Linked DNA regions of Lytechinus pictus. The main gene of each other region encodes a partner of the protein of the gene in region 2 in a complex. Links are inferred from orthologs where the notes say so. Each region holds a gene or a part of one and is shown on either strand. Other genes may lie near its edges.

Region 1 (6,905 bases), on a different chromosome or scaffold from region 2:
TGGTATAATACATATTCTGTTTGAAAAAGACTAATATAACATGTAGAATTTTTTTAAGAAAGAGAAATTTTTGAGTACCAAATGTCTTCAACAAAATACATTTTATTCTTGGATGAAATAAATAGAAAAAAAAGGAAAATATCAGATGGGCTACATGTATTTTGAATTAACTGATTTTTCCCACTGCTTTATATCCCAAAATCTACAAATAGATGAAAATCGTCCTCACTTTTCTCAAAGCTAACTCGCTCTCTCTGTGCTCTGATGTCTGATTGGTCAGCTGGGTACGTAGACCCTGAAGATCAGAGTGTAACTTGGTCTGTTTGACTTCAGAGTTCTTGAAGTCTGCCTGTTGCTGTTTGTCAGCTTCTGATTTAGTTCTCCTGATGTGCTCCTCAGAGAATTTCTCTAACTGGTGGAGGTCGCCCTTTAGTCGACGAATTTCATCATTTTGTTTGGAGATCTGTAGAACGTAAAAAAAAAAAAAAAAAAAAAAGTAGAACAATAAAGAATATTTAATCTAGTGATTTTCCTTTTTTGACAATAAAATTGAAAATTATGATTTGTTTTGTATGGGCAATATACTGCCAGTGTTTAGCTCTGCATGCCACACACACACACAAAAAAAAAACAATAGACAAGGACAAGGCAATTACTTTTTTTGAAAGCATTGATCATGTTTCAAGTCAGCAGTCAAAAAAATATCTAATGTTGTGTGAAAGGTATCCAAATCTCAAAATAATTTGACCAATTTAAGACAGTTTCTGCAATTATTTTTAAAGAAAAAAGTGATGATAATATATAAACAAAGTGAAAAAGAAAAGGAATAATTAGCAGTCTAGTAGCAGACCAAAAGCTTCAGTCATGGTTTCGTCTGCTGTTCCACTAGACTACATGCACTGTACCGGGATCTTGCTTTTATTACACCTCCTCCATTGGAGAATCCAAAAAGACCCTCCCCCAAAAAACAAAGTTTTAAAAGCCCTTCAGACAGGCATAATTCAATACTAGTAGGCTAGATCTACTCAATAGCAAATAATGGAAGAGGGAAGGGGGCTAGAAAGAGAAAGAATAGGATACAAGTAGGTAGAGGGAATGTCAATTAGAGAAAGAAGAAAAGAAGTTTCGAATCTCCCCTTTATACCTTCATGTCTTTATCTTCAATTGCCTCCTGTAGCTCAGCAGAAAGTTTCTTGATGACATCAGAATTCTTATGCTCCCTGATTGTGATCTCCCTGAGATAATCTGTTTTCTCTTTCTCTTCCAAGGGCGTGGTAAGCAGTCTTTCCAGAATAAATGATCTCAGATCCTTCATGTATCCAATCATAGAACTAGACTCTGGGCCTCGCTCTTTGATCTCAGACCTCAGGGCATTGACTGCTGCTGGGTTCAAGCTCAGCAACCGCAGGATATTTCTACATGAAAACTTCAACTGCTGCGCTTGAACATTCACCATTTTTGAAAGCTGCACTTCTTCCTCATCAATAAGTGAAATTGAGTCAACTTTGTCTAATCTATCGGATGGAGTTTGCCTCCTGCTCTCAATCATCTGAACTTCATCATAATTATCTTCATCATCATTGGTGGGTTGTATCTCAGACTCAGCTGCGCGTGCTGCTGGGGTAGATTTTCGAGACTCGACTTTGTCCATATTTTTGTAATCGCTAAGTTTTTTTGCAGCATCTTTAAATGCACTCTGGATCTTTTCATGCTCCTGTATAGTAACAACTGTCTCGATACCAAGAACAACGCTGAAACGATTGACATTTTCACAAGCGTAAGGTAGCAAGCTTACAACCTCAGCATTCTTGATGCTCTCGTCCAATACTGCCAAAATTCTTTGTGATTCAACTGTTGTAAGTTTCTTCCTTCCAGGGTCTAGGATACGTAGAGGATCGGTTCTTTGGTTCTTTGATTCCTTTGGCTTATTCGGTTTGTGTGGTTTGACCTGTGGAAAATCTATGTTAGGTCTTTCTGGACGTTCTTTTGGACCCTCAGCTCGAACCTTGTCGAGCAGACGAAACGTCTCCATCACAGCCATGTCGGCGAAAGACATCTTGCAGCTCGTTACGTATTTCCACCTCTCGGATAAAAACTACACAGATTGAATTTTAGGTAAGGTAATTAATTTGAACTCTCAAAAGTTTATGCAGAATTCCACATTTGTTTCCACAAACACTTGTTCTTTCCTCCTGAACCTCCAGCACTCTCGATCTCATAGACAACACACGTAAATAGAGTAACCGCACCACAAATCTTGTTTGTAAATATTCCTCCGCGAAGGGAAAATGAAGCCTCACATAATTGCCGTGTAAATCTGTTCCGATTTTGAGTATTTTCAAATCTGCGAAAATTCGATGACTTTACATTACAAATGGTAATGAAAAATAGTAAAGCTTAACAAAATGGTAAGTTTTTAACATGAAATATTATCCATCCGCTTGCTCGTATTTGTGTAATACGGTTTCGTTGCTTGGTGACTTCCGAGAAAAGGTCGAAAGGGGTCAACTGGTGTAGCGAAATCTCGCCAAATCTCACCTCGAAAAGCGAGAATAACAGCTGACGGATGTAAACATGGCGGAATTGGAGGACGACCTAAATCGTGTCTCAGTAGAACTTGAGAGTCCTTTATTGGCTGAACAACAGCCAAGTCAGAGCTTTAGAACAGTTAGGAGTGGTGAGAAATACTTCCTGTAGATACATGTAGTATTTGAAGTCAATGTGACAGTCGTGATATAGGTTTAATTGCGTTTTAATTGACTCAAATTCAACTCTTCGGCGTCTGCTTGTGTTAATGCACTGCACTGCATTGACAATCCCCTTGTCACTGACACTGTCTGTCTGTAGCTGCGACTCGGCCCTGCGCGCGTTAGCCGTTACGAATTACCCAGGGGCCGATTGCACGAAAGGGTCTTTCCAAGGACCGTCTTTCGTGTCGCCCATCTTTTATGATGCGCTATAAGCGGGGTGTTTCTGAAATTTATGATAAACAAATAAAATTCGTAAGCTTGCTTTTAAATCAAATTTTATACAATTTCATGAAATATCACATCATTTTATAAACAAATATTTTGTTTATTTTAACGGAAAAATAAAATATATTTGCAGATAATTTATTTGAAATGCGTTTCACATGGCGTATCATAAAAGATGGGCGACACGAAAGACGGTCCTTGGAAAGACCCTTTCGTGCAATCGGCCCCTGTGTTTGTTAGAGTTAGACAGCAAAACAATTTGTCTGGAGAAATTTTAAAACGTTTTTTTTTTCATTTTGGATATGGAATAGCCAGTGAAACATGAAGAATAGAGTTTAGACTCTAGTCCAGTGTATTGTAAAACCGGTAAGCAGCTAGCAGAGACTGAGTTGAGCTGAGTGAGAGAAGTTTTTTAGTCTTTTTTGTACTGCCTACTCTCTGGAAAATTGCCGCTGCGCACCAGTATTTATGCACCTATCAATTGTATGACGCACCCCCCGACCCCCGGGAAGGGTGCGTCACTTGTCAAACGTGAGTCAGATTTTATGGTACGTGGTGTGGTGCGTGACGCACATGTGTGTCTTAACAATGACGCACCTTTACTTACAATGACCCTGCCAAGAAAGAAAAAAGTGACGCACCAGTTCAAGATTTTGACCAACCATGACCGTCTCCCTGACGCACCTTCGTCAGAGTAAAAAGTCAGATTCAGACTAGACTCTGAAGTGTGATGTCTCGTGCGTGCAAGTGCTGCGTGGGCACAATCGAGCTAAATGCAATGGAACGCGATACATGTATTTCGCTATAGTCTCTGACAATGTTTTCTCTTCAATACAACCTCGTGGTGATAGCAGAGGCCGAGGCGAACTCAAAGGGAACGCTTTCCTTTCCGACGATGTCGGGAATATGCGCCATTTACATTTCTTCTCGGAAATCAAGGCCAGGGTTCATGCGAAAAAGTTCATAATATAGATTTTAACTCGTTAGCACCTCAAAGCAATTTTAAAACATATCCCAATCATTCGTTCATTAATCTGAGATGTTTGTGACTTCTATTCTGTTTTATTTTCCTTTCCGACGTTGTTGGAATAATTCGTCAATTATATTTCTTCTGGGAGAACGGGAGTTCATAACGAAAGATATATAAAATAAATCTTACACTGTCAAAAACGAAGTGCTAATTTAGCACTTAAAGTGCTTGTATAGTGACTGCACTACGAGTGCTGATTTTCTAGTTTAAATTTGAACGAGAAAATCAGCACTCATGCTCATAGTGCAGTCACTATACAAGCACTGTAAGTGCTAAATTAGCACTTCGTTTTTGACAGTGTAACTCGTTACACGTTCAAAACAATTTAAAAACATTTCCTGATAGATCGCCAACTAATCTGAGATGTTACCAACTTCAATTCTGTTTTATTTTCCTCTCCGAGGTTGTTGGAATAATTCGTCAATTATATTTCTTCTGGGAGAACGGGAGTTCATAACGAAACTTATATAAAATGTCTTAACTTGTTAGCCGTTCAAAACAATTTTAAAACAAGTCCTGATCAATTGCCAACTAATCTAAGATATTTCCAACTTCTATTTTGTTTTATTTAAGTTTCCAACATTTTCGAGAAAATGCGTCTAATATTTTTCTTAACAGAGAAAAAGCGGTCATAAAGAAAGGTATATGAAATATGTTTTAACTCTTTAATTCCTCAAAACAATTTTAAAACATGTCCTTAGAGCGCCAACTAATCTAAAATGTTACCAACTTCAATTCTGTTTTATTTTCCTTTCCGAGGTTGTTGGAATAATTCGTCAATTATATTTCTTCTGGGAGAACGGGAGTTCATAACGAAAGATATATAAAATATAATTTAACTCGTTAGCCATTCAAAACAATTTTAAAACATGTCCTGATAGATTGCCAACTAATCTAAGATGTTTCCAACTTCTGTTTTGTTTTATTTACATTTCCAACATTGAAGAGAAAATGCGTCTTTAATATTTCTTAATGGAGAGAAAGTGGTCGTAATGAAAGGTATATATATGAAATATATTTTAACTCGTTAGCACCTCAAAATAATTAAAAAACATGTCCCGATAGATCGCCAACTAATCTGAGATGTTACCAACTTCAATTCTGTTTTATTTTCCTTTCCGACGTTGTCGGAATAATTTGTCAATTATATTTCTTCTGGGAGAACGGGAGTTCATAATGAAAGATATATAAAATATATATTAATTTAATAATTTTTGTATCACTGAGGCATCATGACGCACCCAGGTAACATGACTGACATTAACGCACCCCAATCCTCAAACTGTGACGGACCAAATGTTTCTATGACAGTACCCTGCTTCACTAATTTGTTGGTAAATGACCCTACCATGACACACCATTCCCGGGGGTCGGGGGTGCATCTTACAATTGATAGGTGCATTAGTATTAGTATACTAACCTCGCAATACATGTGAGTGGCTGCGCACTAGCCTTGAGGCTACAAAATGCCATTTTGAAGAACAATTTATAGATAAAAATGATTATTTAACAAATAATAAAATTTAATACGTGAGTATAGATAATCATAATAATTATTTATAAATAAGTTTCAAATTTCATTATTTGTTAAATAATAATTTTTATCTATAAATTGTTCTTCAAACGGCATTTTGTAACATCGCTTGTCGAAGGTACGTCATAATGAAGTGGTTCAAGGGTCAAGCCTATTGTATTTGCATTTTTTACAAATGGATTGAGGGATCTACACGAGATCGGTCTGGTTAGCCAGGAGGCTTCTAGAGAGTAAAAATCATTTACTAACGTATGCTTACTCTCCACGAAGCCAGGGATTCTATTGCATTCATCTACACAGCGGTGATTTGAAGCCAGTTCGCAGTACCAAATTTGTATTAATTCATCGCCGAATCCAAAATGGCGAACGCGAATTGCGCATGGGTCATGCGCTTTACAAGAAAGGGCAAGGAGTGGGTCCCGGGGGGGGGGGGGGGGGGCACTCAAATTATTTTTTGATGGGGGTGTGCCTCATGAAATCATTTAGGGTCAACAAACTTTGGTAATGTTGGGGGTATTTGTGGAATTGTCTATGGATTTAGTTCATGAAACCTGGACATAAGAGCAGCAGTGTATCCCTGAATACCCTGTGTGTGTTTCAGGAACATGGCCAAGGTCCAAGGTCATAAAGGTCAATGAACTCTGGCCGTGTTGGGAGTATGTGTTGAAATGGCATCATAACTTACGAGTTTATGGTACTTGCTCATGAAACATCGACATAAGGGTAATCAAGTATGAATGATAGTTTTGCACAATCCTTAGGACACATGATCATGGTCAAAGGTCATTTTTGGTCAATGGACATAATATCTTTTTTTCAAAGGAAGCACTGCTGCTATTTCGAATTACGTAATGCAGGCGAGACTGCCAGAGGCGTTCCACTTGTTTATATTTTTTTTATTCTAGCTGATTCTGCTTGATTCTTGCTGATCCAAAATAAGTTTAACAGGGCCTTGACAAAAGAAATTGAACAAGGGCTTATGGAGATTATCGGGAAAATATGAAAATGAAAGACAAAGAAAAAAACTCATACAAACATAAGAGGGGATCTCTCATAATACAGACCACTAATTAATTTCCTACTGTTATAATATGAATATTCCTTTATTGCTTCTGTTTAAATTACTTTTTTTTCTTATATTGAGTACAGTATGTAAAGTGTACCTCTCAATGCTGTGGTGCCCTTCTGAAATTGCCAAGGCACACTTAAAAAATAATTGAATTCCATGACTGTTTCCATGTGCCATGAAAAACGTACTTTACCCTCACAATAAAGGGCTCAGTGCAAGGGCTGGTTGCATCAATAATGTGCACATTCAGAAATTGTAATATTGAGGGCAATACAACGATTTCTACAAAAGAAATAG
Region 2 (7,875 bases):
TACTGTTTATAATCCAAACTAGATTATGCTCATTACCACTCTGGCAAAATATTGCATCAGATAGACACTAGACAGACGTGTTAGAGTTAGACTGAAGAATATTCTAGAGATCCAGGGACCGAGGGAGTGGTGATGACACATTTCGCAATGTTTTGGCCTGTTGGGACTAGTCGTAATTCAGACGTAAGCGCAAAGCATTAATTGCTTCTGGTACTCAAACTCCAGCAGGCAGCACCACCAGTGCTTCCACTCTTGACTCTTCCTGGAATTCAGGAAATTCGAGGAAGTTTTGTTATTTTCCAGGATCATTCCAGGATGTGAGAAATTCCAGGAAGTTATCATTTTCGGGAATAATATTATTTTCTGAATATTATGTCAAAATCTATCACAAAATTGGATCTTTTTAATTAAAATGTCAAAAATTTTGCTCGCTCGCAACTCTTTATAAACTTAGCCTGTTACGTCATGTTTCGCCCCCCCTCTAAATATTTGGCTCACTTACGCGGCACTGGGCCCTATATTCAATGGTATTTCATTTGTTTTTGTGTGTTTATAGAAGAGAATTATGACTTATTAAAGACTGGAGAACATTCGAAAAATTGCAGGATATTTTGTAAAATTGCAAGTACGGTACTTTTCGAGTAAATTCCAGGAAGTTCCGTTTTGAAAAGTGGAAGCACTGAGCACCACTGATATCTGAATAGTAGGCCTATACAGATCAGTGGGCAGCGCCCAACACTTGGGGGGAGCAACGGATCGCAAGTTTCATTTCATTTCCACAATTCCGAAACGTTAGAAAACGTTGATATAATAACATAACGCTAAATAGGGTACTAAAAATACAAAAAATATTTTAAAAAGAGGAGGAAAAAAAGGACCTCCCATTTTGAAGATGAATTTGATCAGATCTAGTCATTAACTACTCATTTTCGTTTCATGGCGGTGGCCTAATATCTTTTAAGGATACTGCCTTCAATTTAAAGGCTAAACTCAGGGGCTGATCCAGCTCCCGCCAATAGGGGGGGGGGGGCCGAAATTTTTTTCACCCATATTTTCCCCGATCGGCCGCTCAATGTTGATTTTTGTTTGTTTCTTTGAAGGGGTTGTCTCGGTGGCGTAATGAGCCAGTTTTGAGGGGCTTGATACGGCATATTGTGTAAAATTAATGAGAAGTTGCGAGCGAGCGAGCAAAAATTTTGACATTTTGATTACAAAAATCAAAGTTTGTGATAGATTTTTGACATAACATTTGACAAATATAGGCATATATATCACTTATCCCTTTTCTTTTCTCCCCATTTTTCTTGGTCGTGAACAATTGGGGGGGGGGGCAAAACGCCGATATCCTAACAGTCATTTCTTAGCTTTATTTTTATAAAACAACATAAAAATGTAATAATCTCTTCAGCCCTATTTGAATAATACAAGCGCAAAGCGCGAGCTGAAATTTCATGTATTTTGTCCTGAAAATTGAATATTCTGGGCAATGTTTGTGAACCTGAACAAGATGCGTATGTAACTAGATAATTACTGCGATAGCGAAGCCCGAGCAGAAATTTTCAAAATTGGTTCTGGCTTGATCGAAAAAGGACCTGTTAAGACCGATTTGCAGTTAGCCATTAAGACGATACATATTTCAACATTTAGATAATGCGAGAGCGAAGCGCGAGCTGAAAATGTTTTGACATTGCGAGCTATAAAATTGACATTCTAAGCTCTTTTTAAAATAAACGGCATTGGTGAAAAAAAACTAAACAATTGATGCGAGCGCAAAGCGCGAGCGAAAAAAAGATATTTCAGACCTAAAAATGGGACACTCTATTCATTTTTTCTAAATCATGAAAAAAGAAGTTCTTACATTAATAATGCGAGCGCAAACTGGATAATTTTAGCACGTTTTGAATAAAGATCAAGCTGCATATCTCAATAAACATGTGTGCGCCTGTTTTAGAGTTAGACAGAATCTGAGCATTCTGAATACATTTAATTTTTATCATGAAAATTGATAATGTGATCGCGAAGCGCGAGTGGAAAATATTTGATATTCCGATATAAAAAGGGTGAATTTAAATACTATCTAAAGCACTGTGCAGGGAAATTGTGAAGTATATGTGGATAACACTTAATAAATGATGCGAGTGCGGAGCGCTATAGCTGATATTTTTATTATTATTCTGACCTAGGACCTGGACATTCTAAGCCTAAGGACATTTTGTCATCATATGAAAATGATGACTATCTTCATATTCCTCTTCCTAAGCGCGATATGAAACTTGTCGAAATTCCTTTCTGAAACAAGGGACAATTTAGTTATTAGGAATTCATTAAAATTTTATTATCATATTTATTAATATAATAAGCCTAATTAGTGAGTAAAAATTTGTTGATATTAGAGGCCAGAAGACTGAATATTTCAAGCACTTTTGTAAGCATGAATAGGATTTATGAGTTGATATATTTTTAACTACTAATGCGAGCGCAAAGCGCGAGACTATTTTTTTTAAACTGTCGTAAAAGGGGGATTTTGAGTAGTTTGTTATAGAATTGATATATTTATAAAGGATCTTATGGAATACACAAAGACAATATGTAGGCCTACTTGGCAAAGCAAATAATGCGAGCGCACAGCGCAAAAAGCTGCAAATGAAAATTACACCATAAAACAGGCATTTCACAGAGCACTTAAAAAAAAATCAATTTTTAAATAAAAAATAATAATAAAAGCTCGATGTCCGAGCTGAAAAAATGTATTGACTTAAAAAAACTTGATATTTTAGCTACACATCAGCCTATTGAGCAAGATATGTATCACATCGAACACGGGCTATGCGAGCGCGAAGCGCGAGCGAAAATCTTATAAAGTCACATGAAATATATATTTTCAAATTATATTCCAAGTCTTTCCCTGACCTTATTTTATTCACTCGTCTCCCTCCTCTTATTTTTCCTCTTCTTTTGTTCTCCTTTCTTTCCCCTTCTTCTTCTTTCTTTCCCTTTTTCCCCTTTTTTTTGCTCCGCCAATAGGGGGGGGGGGCCTGGATCCGCCTATGAAACGTATTTGTTAATGCGAGCCGTCTGTGAAATAGGGCCTACGTCTATTCGACTGTAATTCCTATCGACTGAAATTTGGGGATTTCTGTGTTGCCTTTTTAAAAATTATTTATTTAGATCTTTTTTTTTTGGCTCTTTACAATGGTTTGTTAGCTTATGGGAGAGAATCGTCTCGTCCCACCGTGCCGTCTCGAAAAATTTTTCAGCCATATTTTCCCCGATCGGCCGCTCGATCGTAGTTGATTATATTTGTGCCTTATAGCCACTTCTTAGCTTTATTCTTATAAATCAACATAAATATATTATACTGTCATATTCCTTGTTTAGATAGTGCGAGCGTGATCGGAGCGCGAGCTAATTTCTTTTAAAATTTCATGTAGCACCCTATTCTGTCCTAAGATTCTGAACAGATGTGTATGCAACTGAATAATTACTGCGAGCGCGAAGCGCGAGCAAAAACTTTAAATATACGTTTTGATCTGATCGAAAAGTGACATCATGCTTGCAGTTAATTAAACATGAAGACGTTACATAATTTCAACAATCAAATAATGCGAGCACAAAGCACGAGCTGAAAATTTTTGACATTTCTACCAAAATTCCAAGCACTTTTTGTAATCGTGAACAGGATAGGTAGGTTTTACATAACCAAAGAATTGATGCGGAAAAATTCGAGATTTAGACCTAAAAACGGGACACTCTATTCATGCTTTGTAAACCATTAAAATGATAAGTAATTGGGGATCTTCCAACATTCATAATGCGAGCGCAAAGCGCGAGCCAAAAATTTTTGATATTCTGATCTTAAACTGGATAATGATTTAAAAAGAGAACAAGCTGTCTATCTGAATAAACATGCGCGCGTGTGTTTCCGATTTACTGGGTATTCTGAATGCATTTTTTTTAGGCAGACTGAAATAAAAAGAAATGTTTCATCGTCTATTTTTATTTTTACATTTTATATATATATATATATATATTTTTTTTTTTTTGGGGGGGGGGTGGTATTTCTCTTCATGCTCAGGGTTCGCGAAGCGGGGGGGGGGGGGCTGGGGGGCTTCAGCCCCCACTTTTTCCAAAACCGTGTACAAAATCGTAAAAATGACCACATGATTGTGATTTTTTGCATGGTCATGCAGCCCCCCCCCCCACTTTGAAAACCGTTCCGCGGCCCCTGATGCTATTCGTACTTCATGCCAGGGGTGGCTAATGGGGCCTTGTGAGACTTCCCCTTGTCCACAACTAAATGACTGTTTCTGGGGTTTTTTTTTTTGGGGGGGGGGGGAATTGTCTGTTTGTTTTCTTGTCAAAAAATTGAAAATTGAAAATATGCCTACATCCAGTATCCAGTCCATTTTTGATACCTCAAGTCAACTTAAAGTGGAAAGTAAAAAAGTCATATTTTAATGATGATAAGCCTACTGTTAATATGACATAATATAATCATATTACAAGTAAAAAGATCAACACAGTAAAATGAATAATATTCAAAACGAAATCAGAAGAATTGATATAGGGAGAGGGGGTTAACTAAAAAGCAGATCGAGCTGCTTGTACTGTGTATGCCCCCTGTAATATTAAAATACATGTATATCATATTAATTTTGTATTAAGAAAACAAACAAAAAAACGACTTAATGAATGAAATACGTAATAAAAATCATTGATAACTATGATAGTCTCAAGTTCTAAAAAGGCAAGCCCCCCCCCCCCCCCAAAAAAAACATTTCGATAGTACAGTATTAGTCGCTATCTGACCGCGTTTTTACATACGACTACGAGCGTGCTCATAATTCCGATCGCACTTATTGGTCGCTCATTTTAATCGCTCCATGACAACAATTGACGCCACATCAAGCAGTCCGTCCGGTCGGATTTAGGCATTATTAATTCTGTAAGTTATGACATTTGAGTTATATTGAATCAATTTTGTAATAATACTCAGTATTATCGAACGGTGAAATATGTTGGATTCCTGAAAGTCTATCACGGTTGAGGTTATTTTCAGTTGATCAATAGATGGAAATATTAAGATTTTAGTTCGGTCCCACGTGCAGAAATTTTTGTAAATGTAAGGCCCACGGCCATATTCTTTCTAGAACAAGATGAATAATTGAATCAATTGGCGGAGCTAAAAAAGGGGAAAGGGAGAAAAAAAAAGGAGAAGAGAGGAGAAAAGAAAAGAAGAGGGGGAAAAAAAAGCAGGAAGGTGATGAGTGATTAAGGTAAGGGGAAGGAATTAAAAAAAAAATTGATGACGATGTCACTGAAATTCAAAGTCAAACGGTCTAAAAAAAATTTTGCTCGCCCTCACATTGCATATTCGATGGAGTACATATCTGCTCAATTAATAGGCTAATATGGAGCTTAAAAAATCAAGCTTTGAAGTCAATAATAATATGCAAAACTTATTTCACTTTTCAGCTCGGACATCGAGCTTTCCTCATAATCACATTTTGTTTGGATTTAGTTTAGGCCTAGGCCTATAGTTAGATCTACAAGTTGATTTTCAAAAAGTGCTCTGTAATGTCTGTTTTCTTGTCTAAGTATCAACACTTACAGCTCGCACTCGTATTTCAGTCGTCAAGTACCTATTCTCTTTGTGTATTCCATAAAGTTCTCAAAATATCTCCTTTACAGGTCTGATTGTCAAGACCTATTAGCTAGCGCTGCTCAGTCGCATTTTGATTGGTGAGTAATGTAACCGGTACCTCTATAGTGTTAATAACAAACTATTTAAAATTCCCTTTTCATGACAGTTTATCAAATAGTTTAGCTCGCGATTTGCGATCGCATTAATTATTAAAAATATATATTAGCCCATGCGTCCTATTCATAATTACAAAGTGCGTAAAAGTCCAGTTTTCAGGCCTTAATTTCAACAAATTTCATTAGGTTTATTACATCAAAAAATAAGATAGAAACATTTTCATGACTTCCTTATAATTAAATTATCCCTTTTTTCAGAAGGGAATATCAGCAAGCATTATTATGCACTTAGGAAGAGGAATTGGTAGACAGTCATCATTTTCCATATGATGACAAAATGTCCTTAGAACGTCCCAGTCCTAGGTCAAAATAATAATAAGTTTAATAAAAATTTTAGCTCGCGCTTTGCGTTCGCACCATTTATTAAGTGCGATGCATATCCACTTCTCAATTTTCCTACTCAGTGCTTGAATTAGAGTTTAATTGACAACTTTTCAGATTGGAATACCAAATATGTTCAGCTCGCGCTTCGCGCTCGCATGATTGATTTTCATGATAAAAAATGTATTTAGGATGCCAAGATTCTAAGTCTAACACTTGCGCACGCATGTTTATTGAGACTCGCGACTTGTTCTTTATTTAAAACATGCTTAAATTACCCAGTGTCAGATCAGAATACCAAAGAATTTCTACTAGCGCTTCACGCTTGCATTATTAATGTAGGAAATACCCAAATTACCCATCCTTATCATGATTTACAAAACATAAAGAGTGTCCCGCTTTTGGGTCTAACTCTCTTTTTTTTTCCGCTCGCGCTTCGCGCTCGCATTGTTTAGTTATATACATATCCTATTCATGATTGCAAAAAGTGCTTAGAATGTCCATTTGTTCAGGTCAGGATGTCAAAAATTTTCAACTCGCTCTTCGTGCTCGCATTATTTGATTGTTGAAATATGTATCGTATTTATGGCTGACTGCAAACATTCCTTAACAGGTCCCTTTTTGATCAGACCAGAAAGTATACTGTACGAAAAATTTCTGCTCGCGCTTCGCGCTAGCAGTAATTATGTAGTTTCATACGCATCTTGTTCAGGATCACATACATTACCAAGAATATTCAATTTTCACGACAAAATACATGTAATTTACCCAAAAAAATAGCCCGCGCTTCGCGCTCGCACTATTTAAATAGAGCTTATGAGATTATTATATATTTATGTTGTTTTATATAGATAAGAAGTGACTACCCCTTCAAAGAACCAAACAAAAATCAATTTTGAGCGGGTGATCGGGAAAAATATGGGTGAAAACAAATTTCAGGCCCCCCCCCCCTATTGGCAAAGGCTAAATCTGCCCCTGGTGACGCATGTCTGCGCACCTAAATATTGACTGTAAAGCGGATTGAAGATTAAACCTGTCTTTCCTTAAAATTACACAAAAAGCTTTATTTCATATTATATTTTTTCTTATATTCTGGTCAAGAAGAAGCTAGTGATATAGTGCAAAAAATAAAACTTGTCCATAGATGATCATGGACTATGGCATGCCAAATTAATTAACTTCATAAAACTGTGATTTTTTTCAGATCTTGATGAAAAGTGTGCAAAAGAGACATCTACCAAATTTCATAGTAATTTATGAATTGGTTTTTGAATAATCATATGACTTTGTCTGCACATCTATTCATTTTGCACAGTAATTGAATTTTTTTTGCCTTCTATTTGCAGATCTCTGTGACCCTGTTAGGTTGATTAATTTTCTGGTGTTGATTGTGAGAAAGTGAATCGTCAATATGAGCCGGCTGTATGACACAGTGGAACCATCCGTAGTGGATGAGATAATGCTTCAGAAAGCTGTAGAGGAGCAAGGTCCTAAAGAAGAAGCAGGAAGAATAGCCAAGGCTGAAGGAATAGACTTTACAGATGTAACACAGCTCAGATTAGACTTCAAAAGTAAGGAAGTGTGTTCTGTGCTTTGAACATTGCCAACTCTATAATAATGTAAATTAATTATCTTATTGTCCCTACTAGACTTAAATAGTAAGGAAACATGTTAAAGGGGTTCTATGCTTTGAACAATGCCAAATCTGTATACTAAATTTGAATAAAAATATAA

Evidence for each region. The genes of interacting proteins can lie anywhere in the genome.
Region 1: dynein regulatory complex subunit 3-like (region 2) and dynein regulatory complex protein 10-like share a complex: the UniProt entries of both Homo sapiens proteins name them as parts of the nexin-dynein regulatory complex. The link is inferred for Lytechinus pictus from reciprocal best matches to the Homo sapiens genes DRC3 and DRC10.

What each region holds. Positions count from the first base shown.
Region 1 is NC_087246.1:4,179,016-4,185,920, reverse strand, and holds the start of dynein regulatory complex protein 10-like, read right to left. Parts: upstream 3,011-6,905; 5' UTR 2,678-3,010; coding exon of another isoform or gene 2,575-2,677; 5' UTR 2,057-2,574; coding exon 1,145-2,056; intron 464-1,144; coding exon 230-463; intron 1-229. Other genes in the region: two pore channel protein 1-like, read left to right, coding at 2,575-2,677. UniProt on the Homo sapiens protein: Component of the nexin-dynein regulatory complex (N-DRC), a key regulator of ciliary/flagellar motility which maintains the alignment and integrity of the distal axoneme and regulates microtubule sliding in motile axonemes.
Region 2 is NC_087254.1:18,110,682-18,118,556, forward strand, and holds the start of dynein regulatory complex subunit 3-like, read left to right. Parts: upstream 1-4,855; 5' UTR 4,856-4,945; intron 4,946-5,691; exon of another isoform or gene 5,692-5,742; intron 5,743-7,487; 5' UTR 7,488-7,552; coding exon 7,553-7,712; intron 7,713-7,875. UniProt on the Homo sapiens protein: Component of the nexin-dynein regulatory complex (N-DRC) a key regulator of ciliary/flagellar motility which maintains the alignment and integrity of the distal axoneme and regulates microtubule sliding in motile axonemes.